Danio rerio: one gene and its partners. The protein of the gene in region 3 purifies or fractionates together with the protein of the main gene of each other region. This does not show direct contact. Links are inferred from orthologs where the notes say so. Each region holds a gene or a part of one and is shown on either strand. Other genes may lie near its edges.

The links.
Region 1: the proteins of snap29 (region 3) and stx6 purify together in Homo sapiens (co-immunoprecipitation; 3 studies listed by BioGRID and IntAct, counting the BioPlex papers as one, with this or other methods). This does not show direct contact. The link is inferred for Danio rerio from reciprocal best matches to the Homo sapiens genes SNAP29 and STX6.
Region 2: the proteins of snap29 (region 3) and stx7l purify together in Homo sapiens (affinity purification with mass spectrometry; 3 studies listed by BioGRID and IntAct, counting the BioPlex papers as one, with this or other methods). This does not show direct contact. The link is inferred for Danio rerio from reciprocal best matches to the Homo sapiens genes SNAP29 and STX7.

What each region holds. Positions count from the first base shown.
Region 1 is NC_133197.1:16,196,022-16,200,206, forward strand, and holds the start of stx6 (syntaxin-6), read right to left. Parts: upstream 2,925-4,185; 5' UTR 2,778-2,924; coding exon 2,743-2,777; intron 274-2,742; coding exon 104-273; intron 26-103; coding exon 1-25. UniProt on the Homo sapiens protein: SNARE promoting movement of transport vesicles to target membranes. Targets endosomes to the trans-Golgi network, and may therefore function in retrograde trafficking.
Region 2 is NC_133195.1:49,559,352-49,563,620, forward strand, and holds the start of stx7l (syntaxin-7), read left to right. Parts: upstream 1-1,342; 5' UTR 1,343-1,391; intron 1,392-4,199; 5' UTR 4,200-4,208; coding exon 4,209-4,269. UniProt on the Homo sapiens protein: May be involved in protein trafficking from the plasma membrane to the early endosome (EE) as well as in homotypic fusion of endocytic organelles. Mediates the endocytic trafficking from early endosomes to late endosomes and lysosomes.
Region 3 is NC_133183.1:3,069,516-3,073,171, forward strand, and holds part of snap29 (synaptosomal-associated protein 29), read left to right. Parts: intron 1-1,649; coding exon 1,650-1,754; intron 1,755-1,833; coding exon 1,834-1,994; 3' UTR 1,995-2,033; exon of another isoform or gene 2,034-3,656. UniProt on the Homo sapiens protein: SNAREs, soluble N-ethylmaleimide-sensitive factor-attachment protein receptors, are essential proteins for fusion of cellular membranes.

The DNA of each region.
Region 1 (4,185 bases), on a different chromosome or scaffold from region 3:
TTCTTCGGATTGGCCTCCACAATACTTAAACACAAGGTTAAGGCTACAACCAACATATAAACAGCATCAAGACCAAACAATGACGACTAAGCTAAAAGGATATTGATAGTCTCATCCAAGTCCTCCAAGTCCCATTCAATGGACCTCAAACTGTTTCGTAATTCGTTGGTGGTCCAGTCCACTTCCTCCTTGCTGGCTCCACCCGCGTCCTGTAGCAGCTCTATCCATCTCTGATGAAGACCTTGAGCTGTGTTTACAGCCTTCTGCACCTCTCTAAGACAAATACATTCAATTAAGCCTCAAGGTTAATTGACCTACTACAATGTAGACAAGAATACTACAGAGTGTGCAGATAATTATGAAAATTATAAACATATGATCATAATTGTTTTTTTCCAAAGAGAATTTGACCAGTTCTCAAATACATCGTTCTTAGCCAAATACTAAAATATTTTACTTGTAATTTATTATTAATAAGTGTTATTAGTATTATTATTTAGAATAATTATTATTAAATTGAAAATTAATAGACTGTCTGATGTGTATAATCATTAAGCAGGAAAATAGCCCATAAAAAAGATGCAACTCTCACTAAAAAGTCAAAAATAATGGATGCGATCCTATAAAAAATGTGATAAATTAAAGGTGCTGTGAAGTGCTTTAAAATTAGCATTTTGAATTTGATTTCTTCGTTGTAATCTGAAATAAAATTCATGAAGACAGGGTGGGACATAGAGTAGCCCCTCTCCTTTATAAAAAACATCCAAGAGTGTTTCGTTTTTAATCACAGCTCTGCCAGTGAGAGTGGTTGATCTCAAAAAAGATGCATCAATGGATAAAGCAAATGAAAAGCATCTTGAGGGGGGTGGGTATGTCAGACACTAGAGAGTATTTGATTGGTCAGAATATTTGATGAGAAACTACAATAGATAACCCCCAATAATATAAATCCCCACTTTATAAAAACCAATAGCTGAAGTGTTATACAATACTGATTTCTTTTAAGGACAGCTTATGTATCTGTCTTCCTCCTGCCCTAGTTAGTATTTGTCGTTCAATAGTAATACCTTAATTTTACAGGTTTATTAATGCTGTGATCTTCTTTTGGTCGTTTAATATATATACAAAACGAAGGGCCCAAAAAGGAGGTGTAACATTGGGAAAATATATATATATATATATATATATATATATATATATATATATATATATATATATATATATATATATATATATATATACATACATACATACATACATACATATATATATATATATATATATATATATATATATATATATATATATATATATATATATATATATATATATTTTTTTTTTTTTTTTTCCTCCCCAATGTTACACCTCCTTTTGGTCCCTTCGTTTTGACATGTCAAAATAAACCTGCTTCATAAATATGCACATCTAAATATAATTATCTTACACCCCCAGTGCTTGTTAAAAAATTACACGTAACTTATTAATGATTATACACAATATCAATACTAGGGCTGCACAATATATCGTTTCAGCATCAATATCGCAATGTAGTCATTCGCAATAGTCACATCGCAGGTTGTGCAATGTTGAGTCTGTAGTATAATCTATCATTTTCATGTTTTTTTGGACAGTAGGATTTTAAAACCAGAGGCATAAAAAATTTTACCATTTGTAAGTTAACGTTAGACGTAAAAATGATAAAACACTGTTTATTTATCTTTTTTTATTGTTTGATCTATGCTTGTGGATAGTTTATTATAATTATTGCAGATGCACTTTTCTGCAGAATCATCTGAATCAGATAATTATATCGCAGAATAACTAAATATCGCAATGTTAGATTTTTCCAATATCATACAATCAACACTTAAGAAGTGTGAAATCGGTACAATTAAACAATAATTATGCACGCACTTTATTACAGCGCCTAGACTGCAGTTCTGCACAAGACGTTTGGCCACAGGAGAAACGGTCGTGCTCAACTGAGCCTGGTTTCGCTCAAGTTTTTTTAATTCTTCACTTTCGCCAATTGGTGAAGTTTTTTTCCCTTGCCACTGGCTTGCATGGTTTGGGAGCAGTGGAGCTGCGCATCGATGGATTTGCTTTTCAGTGTTTAAACTCTCAGCAGTAAAAATTAAACCACACTGAACTGAATGGACTGAACTAAACTGAACTTCAACACAAAAATAAGCTGACACTGTTTCAATTTACTATAATCTTCTATGTGAAGCTGCTTTGACACAATCTAGATTGTAAAAGCGCTATAGAAATAAAAGATGAACTGAATTGAAAGGTTTTACTATGATAATGCAATGCTTTTGGATGTCTGACATGGAAAAAACTATGCTATTACGTTACTATCCAAAAGCATACCATAATATGTATCCCCAAAAAGTGACAAACATGGTAACGTTACATATTTGTAAATCCTAACTTATAGCAAAACGCAGATGTCTGGCAACCCAAAACAATACCACTTTAAAGGGAAGACGACACAAATATCGATTAACGCTATGAAGCGTTTGAGAAAAAAATCGATAATTATGGTTGCCATGACAACACGATAACGATCTTACCGAAACAGCTGCTTTAAATGGTGCCGAGTATCAACGTAGGACAAGTCAAATAGCTAATGTACGTAAAGTTTAAAATAATTAACGTTACTCCAATCTGATTCCTGAAAGTGTCTAATTCGACATCTTATATTCGCCCCTAGTCTCCGATCTAAGCCCTGAAACTCACCCTTTCACCACGAAAAACGGATCTTCCATCGACATTTTGCTGCTCAGATGAGTCGATGAGTGGGGTGCGATAATCTCATGCTCCTGACCGCGGCTGGTTTAGCTTTACTTGGACAAAGGAGAGCGCTTTACGTGTTGTTTACATGCGGGACAGAGCCCGGATCCGCTCAGCCGCCATTGCCCGGCGGAATCACATCCGGGTCCTCGAGCGTCTAGACACACGCACGCGCCTGGGCAGATAAACAGCAGCACGGGTTGTTTTGGTTTGTTGAAGTAAAAGAACAAAGCGTTGCCACTAATATGCAAAATGCCTAAATATAAAATATACTTACGAGATATTAGTTTAATTTAGATAATGCTTTAAATATATGTTGGTAGTCAGCATTCTGTCTATTCATCATCCAGGCAATATTATGTAAAGTAGCTTACCATTATTATTATAATAAATCTACTATATGTAAATGTTTACGTAATTGAAAGCTAATTTATAGTTTATGCGTTAAACATATGCTGGTATAGTTGGTGGTTCATTCCACTGTGGTGACCTCTAATAAATAAGGGGACTAAGTCGAAGGAAAATGAATAAAGGAATTTATAACATACTAAAATATTGAACCTACGTCCTCAAAATTAAATTTAACTGAATCATTATACACCGACTTCAAAATGATTACCTTTTGATTTGCCACCAAAATTAACATAAAATAAGAATATTATTATTCACAGAAAATTCACAGTAAATAAAAAATAAAATCCATGTTTTCAGATCTTAGATATTTTGAACTATTGTAAAAGCACACATACATATAGTCCTCCTAACATTTATATATGTGTGTGTAGCCTTTTACGTATGTGTACAATAATTGTATAGTAACATAAAAATGTAACAGGCGACATGGTGGCTCAGTGGTTAGCTCTGTTGCCTCACAGCAAGAAGGTCACTGGTTCGAGTCCCTGCTGGGCCAGTTGACATTTCTGTGTGCAGTTTACATGTTCTCCATGCCGTGTGGGTTTCCTCCGGGTACTCCGGTTTCCCCCACAAGTCCAAAGGCATGCGCTAGGTGAATTTCATAAACTAAATTGTTTGTAGTGTATGTGTGTGAATGTAAGATTGTATGGATGTTTCCCAGTACTGGGTTGCAGCTGGAAATGCATCCGCTGTGTAAAACATATGCTGGAAAAGTTGGTGATTCAGTCGCTGTGGCGACCACAGATTAATAAAGGGACTAAGCCAAAAAGAAAATGAATGAATGTGTGTGAATGAGTGTGTATGGAGGGTTCCCAGTACTGGGTTGCAGCTCTAATGCCAACAGCTGTTCCAAAACATATGCTGGATAAGTTGGTGGTTCATTCCTCTGTGGTGACCACTGATTAATAAAGTGACTAAGCTGAAGAAAAATGAATGAAAATGTATGAATGAATGAGCTACAATCTGATACCATTG
Region 2 (4,269 bases), on a different chromosome or scaffold from region 3:
TATATATATATATATGTGTGTGTGTGTGTGTGTGTGTGTGTGTGTGTGTGTGTAAGTGTGTGTGTGTGAGTGTGTGTGTGTGTATGTATATATATGTATGTATGTATGTATGTGTGTGTGTGTGTGTGTGTGTGTGTGTGTGTGTGTGTGTGTGTGTGTGTGTGTGTGTGTGTGTGTGTGTGTGTGTGTGTGTGTGTGTGTGTGTGTGTGTATCAGGCCCGGATTGGCTAATCGGGAGGACCGGGAGAATTCCCGGTGGGCCGGTGCGTTTTTTGGCCGCGAGGGCCGGTGTCCCTAGCTCTAGAATCTGTTGCTCTCAGCAGTCACACTTTTTAAATTAATTTATTTACTTACTTGACTACAGTCTTCTTATTCATCATTTTACCGCAGCTCTGCTCTTTTTATATATGACCAGCCTGCAGGTTAATGACGATATTAGTCAGATGAGTCAGTCCTTCATATACAACTGTTGTGGTCCAGTGGTTAGCACGTTAGATTATGACGCTAACTTTCAGTAACTCGCAGCGACATATATAATATATATATATTTATATATATATAAATAATTTTTTTTGTCAATATTTAATTTACTATTAATCTCACTTAATGACAACGGTGAGCACACTGTTTGCAGCACAAGACTATTCTTGGTTTAATTTTGGGGATCGTCCTCTATGTGTAGTCGTGGCCTTTATTTTTTATGTACACGCGTGCCGTAAAGGTGTCAGAGTTTAACATTGTGCCATTAATCTAGTGTAATAACCCCAGGGGTTGGAATCCAATGGGAAAAGAATTGAAAGGCTGATGGCTTTTTATTTGCATGCTGTTATTTTATTTAACTATTAAATACCATGTTTATCTTCTGTAAGTTATGGATAAAATATGGCTATTCTAATAGTTTAATAACATATATTAAAGAGAAATCACCAAGCAACCCACCCTCATTGTCTCACAAACCCCAATTTGGGAACCACATAGCTATACTACTAGTAGCCTACATAAATGTTTATGTGAAGTATGCTTAAGATATATCAATATTAACTAACTATACTTAATAAAAAGGAACGTGAAGTATACTTCTTTTTAGTAAGGTTAGGCTACTTATTACCCATGTGGAAACCAAGTTAAAGTCTACTTTATTTTTGTTATGTAGGCTAGTTTTTTTTTTTTTTTACTTTTTTAATTGGGGTAAGTTAATAATAATAGACATCTGCCTAGTATTTGTCGATCTAAACATATAGTACATAAACTCAATAGTTTAGTATATGCGTCAAGTACATTACTAATCTACTACATGTTTCTGAACGCACACGGAAGATAGAACAGAAGTCACGTGACCCGCGCGTCAAAGAAATCAGCTGAGGGCTCGGAGTTTCACTCAGGAAATCCAGGTAAACCGAACAACCAAAGTACATATTAAAGTAAACGATGCGTATTTATAAACTGTACATGTGTGCAGACTTTACGTAAATAGTTGTTGAGGGTAGTTTAAAAGAGAAGTCAGTAAAGTAGCAAGCGCAAAGTTCATTCACTGAAGCATATTTGTTGACAGCGCGATTTGTGTTCACTTGACATGAAACTACACTGTAAGATTCCCGAATGTTAATGTTTGTTGTGTGTCAGCAAAGTTAAAACAATAGCTGTCTAGTTTTATAAATGAAAATGCGTGTTTGTGAGTTTGTGAGCCGTGATTTCCGCATTCTTTCGTTTTGCAGGTGCAGCGCAGATCGGTTTTACTAGTCATCTGTTTAGTACTAGCCTGCTAACCAATAAACAACATTACGCCAGCTATTTTCGAGTAATTATTGAGCTAATAAGGCATATTTCAAAGCAAGGTGAGCAACTATATGGGGCAAGTTTTCTCGTTAATTCAAAATGACAACAGTAATATCATTAAGGGAGATTCTAAAACGCATGAAATAAGCTTAATAATTGAGGTTAAGTTGATTTTATACTATAGACTTTATCCTTAATAATATAATTTTGGCTAAGAACTGCACATTCTGATTAGGGACATCATATTAGCATCTAATGACTTTCAAAGTACACGCTGCTCTCAGTCAATTAAATAATGCTAATGTTTAGGTCATACTTACATGTGATTTCAGACTTCATATATAAAGTAGCATGGTAAACAATATAGGGAGTGTATCACAAGTTGTCACTGAAAGAATGTGCGAATATAAAACCAACTTTGCCTCAATAGCTTAATATACCTAAACATCAACCAGAGAAGCCCACATTTCGATCAAACTTTACTTGTAATTAACCCGAACTACTGTTAAGACAGAGTCCCAATTCCATAAGTGAAAAATATCACGCTAAGCGTTTTCTCCACTATTGAAGTCTATTATAAGTAAAAGCTTAATGTGGCTTAATGTACCTCAACAACAAGTGGGGGGAACCAAATTTCTATCAAATTTTACTTGTGGTTAGCACTAACTATATAGCAAAAAAATTAAAAATTTGCCCCATTTCCACAGCTTAAGTGAACAGCGTTTTTCCCTATGTTGTTGTGGGGATGTCAATGACATGCACAAGTGCATTCTTTTGACAGCAAAGGGTTAATCTATAATAAATTAAGTTAGATTTTTTGAACAGCTTTTTTATAATTTGGTTTCCCTCTGTTTTTAAGTCAAGCTTTCCTTATTAAGGACTTCAACGGGGAAGAAAACACTTAACGTGATATTGTTAACTTTATCTGTGGAATTAAGGCCCATTCTTTTAAAAATAGTTTGTCTTAATCACAAGTAAAGAAATTTGGGTTTCCCTGGTCTGGGTTAAGATATGTTAAGCCACGTTAAGCTGATTCCTTATAATGCGCTTCTGTGAGGAGAATGCTGAAAGTGATATTGCTCACTTGATACACTAAAATAAAAGCTTGTTCTTTTACAGCAGTAAGTGTTTTTCATGAATATATATCTATAGAAATTTGATTGTCTCTAGATGTTAAGTTAAACCACATTAAGCTGTTATAATGGACTGAAATGGGGATAAAATGCTTAACAACATTGTCCGCTTTATCTACAGACTAAGGGCTTGATCTTTTGATAGTAGTTAGTGTTAATCACAAGTATTCGATAGATTTTTGGTGTACCCCACTTGTTGAGGTATACATTAAGCCATGTTAAGCGTTTTCCTTTTATAATGGACTCAGTGGGGAGAATTGCATACCGTGATAATTTTTACCCACTAAAATAAGAGCTCATTCTTTTGACATCAGAAAGTGTTTGTAACTTTTATAGAAATTTGGTTTCTCCCACTTGCTGTTAAGGTACATTAAGCCACGTTAAGCTTTATCCTTATAATAGACTCCAATGGGGGAGTAAACGCCTAACATGATGTTTTTCAATTTATCTGCTTAATTGGGACTCATTCTTTTTACAGTAATTAGGGTTAATTACAAGTACAGTTTGACAGAAATTTGGGGTTTTCTGGTTGATGTTTAGTTACATTAAGCCCCGCTTTCTTCATGTTAAGCATTTTTGAATGTCCCCATTAATATAATTAAGAAACGCATACAAAATAGTGAGCAATTGTTTTGGTCTCCAAATAGTACAGTACGTTTTAAGGGTAACTTAAAGTTGGTTTATATTCACACATTCAGACTTTCTCCTTAATATAATTTCAGAAAACTATTCTTTACTAATACTAAATAGTCAAATCATATTCCCAGCAAATGACAATTAAAGTACAGCATTGTTCATGGTCAATTAAATAGTGCTAATGTTGTTTTGGAGGCATATGATTCAGACCGAATATTTAAAGTAGTAAACAATATAGGAAACATGTCACAAGTTGTCCCTAAATGAATGTGGGAATATTAAACATTAATAAGTATGTATAGTTTGTGTAAAACATGTTTACAACTCGTGAAAGTCTGTCACTACTTGACATTTATTAAAAACGTCGCAAATCCAGCATTTCAGTTCATACATGTTAATATACAAACTATTCTGTAGCATGTAGGATCAAATATAATGATAGTTGAATGTTATTGAAGGAAGAAATTGATAAGCCATATGTAAAAACACGTTCAAATAGTATGTTTTAGGAGCAATGTATATAAGAAAACATGTTTATGAATAAATTGTATAAGCTTGTTATTATGTAGCGCAGTATAAGAGATAATTGTGCGATTGTAGGCCTGCAAATAAATGTGATTTCTACAAATGTGTTTTCTGTCTCTTTCATTAAAGGCTTCCATCATGTATGGATCAAGAGAAGTCGATGCCAATGGGCTGGCACAGACTATTAGTTCAAACATCC
Region 3 (3,656 bases):
AAGAGCTATAAAATGACACAGCCGCAGTGGCTCACCTTGTAAGGCGCACAGCCTCATCTTTTGACGCGATTAATCATAATATCGGTTCGAATCCACCATCAGCTGAACTCCTGCTACTTTTTTTTTTTCTCCCCATTACATATCAGATTGGAAATATATTTATTTTTAACAGGAAAGAAACATTTTTTTTAAATAATGCAAATGTGATAAAGTCACAAGTGTCTCATGGGTATTTAATAATGTGTAGCCTTATTATAGGCGCCTGCCGCGTCTTCCTCTCTTCAAAAACTATATTGCTCAGACAACTGTATTTCCTCTGAGCAAAAAAATATTAATATTATTATTATATTTAAATTGCCTTTCTTTCTTTAACTAAACAGAATGCTGTAATTGGTCAAGCGCGGAAACGTCAGTTTTGTAATAACCCGCACTAAACTGAGCGGACTGTAGTGTAACGTTATATCTGTCATAGATCAAAAATGAGTGGACAAGTGGATTTAGCAAACGCGACAGAAAGAGGAGAGGAGGCATCTTTATTGAGGCATTTTCCATACACACCTTCTTTAAACAGACCCGTGATCAGGAGAATGAGGGTACAGAAGAAGACGTTATGGTAACTTTAAATGATGAGTAGCTAGCATTAACCAGGCGAAGGAGGCTAACGGCAGCGCAGCGCGGACTGGATTCATCGTGTGAGAGACAGACAGAAAAGGAGAGAGAGAGAGAGAGAGAGAGAGAGAGAGAGAGAGAGAGAGGCCCAGAAGAGGAGAGAGACGGGAGAGAAGAGGTATAGTGTGTGTGATTTTGGATACTTTTAGGTTTATAATCAAGTCTTCATCACGAGAAGAGTAGAGAAAATGCAGGGAGAGGAGGAGAGAGACAGTAAACCAGTGTTTGTATTATGAAAGACTCAGATTCATAGAACTCAGATTCATAGAACTGGATTGGAGAAGCATTGTGTGTTATATGTCATGGCAATAATATGCTTTATAAGTTTGTAAAAGCAATACATTAAAATACCCTTAAAAAAAAAAAAAAAAAAAAAAATATATATATATATATATATATATATATATATATATATATATATAATGTATATGTATGTATATATATGTGTATATATATATATATGTGTGTGTATATATATGTATATATATGTATATATGTGTGTGTGTGTGTGTGTATATATATATATATAGTTTTATTAGTATTTTTATTTAATGCTTTGAAAAATCATTTAAATCTTTGTAGACTATAAATGCATATGTACTATATGTCATTTATTTAAATATGTGGGCAACAAATTATAGATTCATTTCATTTAAAAATTATTATATTATTCTTATTTTTTTAATTCAACTATAGGGGTGCGGCCAGGTAGGGGGCCTTACAAGATAATGTGCCCAGGGGCCCCTGAGTTCTTAATCCGGGCCTGGTTGAACCCAATTATCATGTTCTGAACTGTGGTGATGATCAACTATAATTCCAGCGTGACATTGCTGATCTTGCGATGTGACTATTGCAGATTTACACCCTGCAACATCAATGCTGTAACCATATATTGTGCAAAGCTGATTTATAAATCTCAGTTTCCCAAAAAGTGATTACCCCATGACTGGTTTTGTGCTCATCAATGTTTGTTTAAACAGGATTCGGAGCTTCTGCTGCTCTTGATAACGGCTCGTCTGATCAGAACGGATTTCCCAAAAACAAACAGCTGCGAGCCGCTCACCAGCAGCTGGACAGAAACCTGGGTGAGAAACACAAGAGCAGCTTCTCTCATACCTCCATCCAAGGAGTCCGGATGTGACAGTGTGTGTTTGTGTCCTCCAGATGAGATGTCTCTGGGTCTGGGCCGGCTGAAGAATCTGGGTCTGGGCCTGCAGACGGAGATCGATGAGCAGGACATTTCTCTGGACGCTCTGCTTAATAAAGCCGACACCATGGACGGGAAGATCAGCTCCACCAACCGGCAGCTCAAAAGCCTTAAATAGACTCAGGGGGTGATGTCACTTCCTGGAGGCGTGGCCAAGGTGATCATAATTGAAAACATGTGCGCTCGTAAAACATTTCTCAAGTTCTCTCCAAGATAAGGAGGAGTGTGTTGGACAGAGAAAATTAAAACAAAACAAGAGACTTAAGGAAGAACACATGATGGTGTGAGAAAAAAACATTATAGTAACAATGATGATAAATTGTTGTCTTTTTTTTATGCAAATATTGATTATTGAAGGAACAGTTCACCCAAAACAAAGCATTCACTCACTATTTACTCTCCCTCAAGCGTTTCAAAACCTTTACGAGTTTTTTTCTTCCATTGAACACTAAAGAAGATGTTTTGAAGAATGCTGAAAACCGGTAACCATTGACTTCCATAGTAGTAAAAACAAATGCTATGGAAGTCAATGGTTACCGTTTTCTTAGCATTCTTTAAAATATCTAATTTGAAAAGAATGAAAATCATAAAGGTTTGAAACGAGTAAAGGGAAAGTAAATGATGACCGAATTTTTATTTTTGGGTGAACTGTCCCTTTAAGAGAATATATGGTTGTTTCTACTGGAAAGCAAGACAAAAAATGAGTGGGAGATTAGAAAATCATTACTCACTAATTTACTCAAATTGTAAATATACTGGTTTAGGGTTACACTGTTTATAAGCTTTGAGTTAAAAATGTTCCCTGTAAAAAAAATTAAAGCAAAGTTTGTCAGACATGCACACCACAATCACTGCAATCCTTAAAGGGACAGTTCACCCCAAAATAAAATTCTGTCGTCATTTACTGGTGTCTTTCTTCTGGTCAACACAAAAGAAGATACACTGAAGAATGCTGAAGAAAACAGCCATTGGCTTCCATAGTATGGATGTTAATGTCTGTTTTTCCTCCCCAACATTCTTCACAATATCTTCTTTTGTGTTCAGCAGAAGAAAGAAATTATTAAGCGTTTGGAACTTGCGTGTGAGTGTTTATGCTATGTTTTTTTCTGCTAGTATGGTCCTGGTAATTTTCACATTCAATCCATCTCAGCATTGCACTGTGCCATTGTATTTCCCCCTGTGCTCAGATTTTATGTTTGTTAAAGTTATAGTTCACCCTGAAATTTAATTTTACTGACCCTCAAGTGTTTCCAAACCTTTGAATTCCTTTCTTCTGTTGAACACTAAAAGAAGATATTTTGAGTAATGCTGAAAACCGGTAACCATTGACTTCCATAGAAATCAAAACGGATACTATGGAAGTCAATGGTTACCAGTTTTCAGCATTCTTCAAAATATATTTTTTAATGTTTATCAAAAGAATGAAAATCATAAAGTTTTAAAACAAGGGTGAGTAAATGATGACCGAATTTTAATTTTTGTGTGAACTGTCCCTTTAAGAGAGTACACGGTTATTTCTACTGGAAAGCGAGACAGAAATACAGAGTGGGAAATTGAGTTTTGCCTTTATTAGTCATAGTACGTTACTCGAATTTTAAATAAGCTGGTTTAGGGATGAACTGTTTATAAGCTTTGAGTTAAACATGCTACCTGTAGAAAACTAAAATACAGTGTGTCAGACATGCACACCACAATCACTGCACTCCTTAAAGAGACAGTTCACTCCAAAATAAAATTGTCATCATTTACTGGTGTCTTTCTTCTGTTAAACACAAAGGAA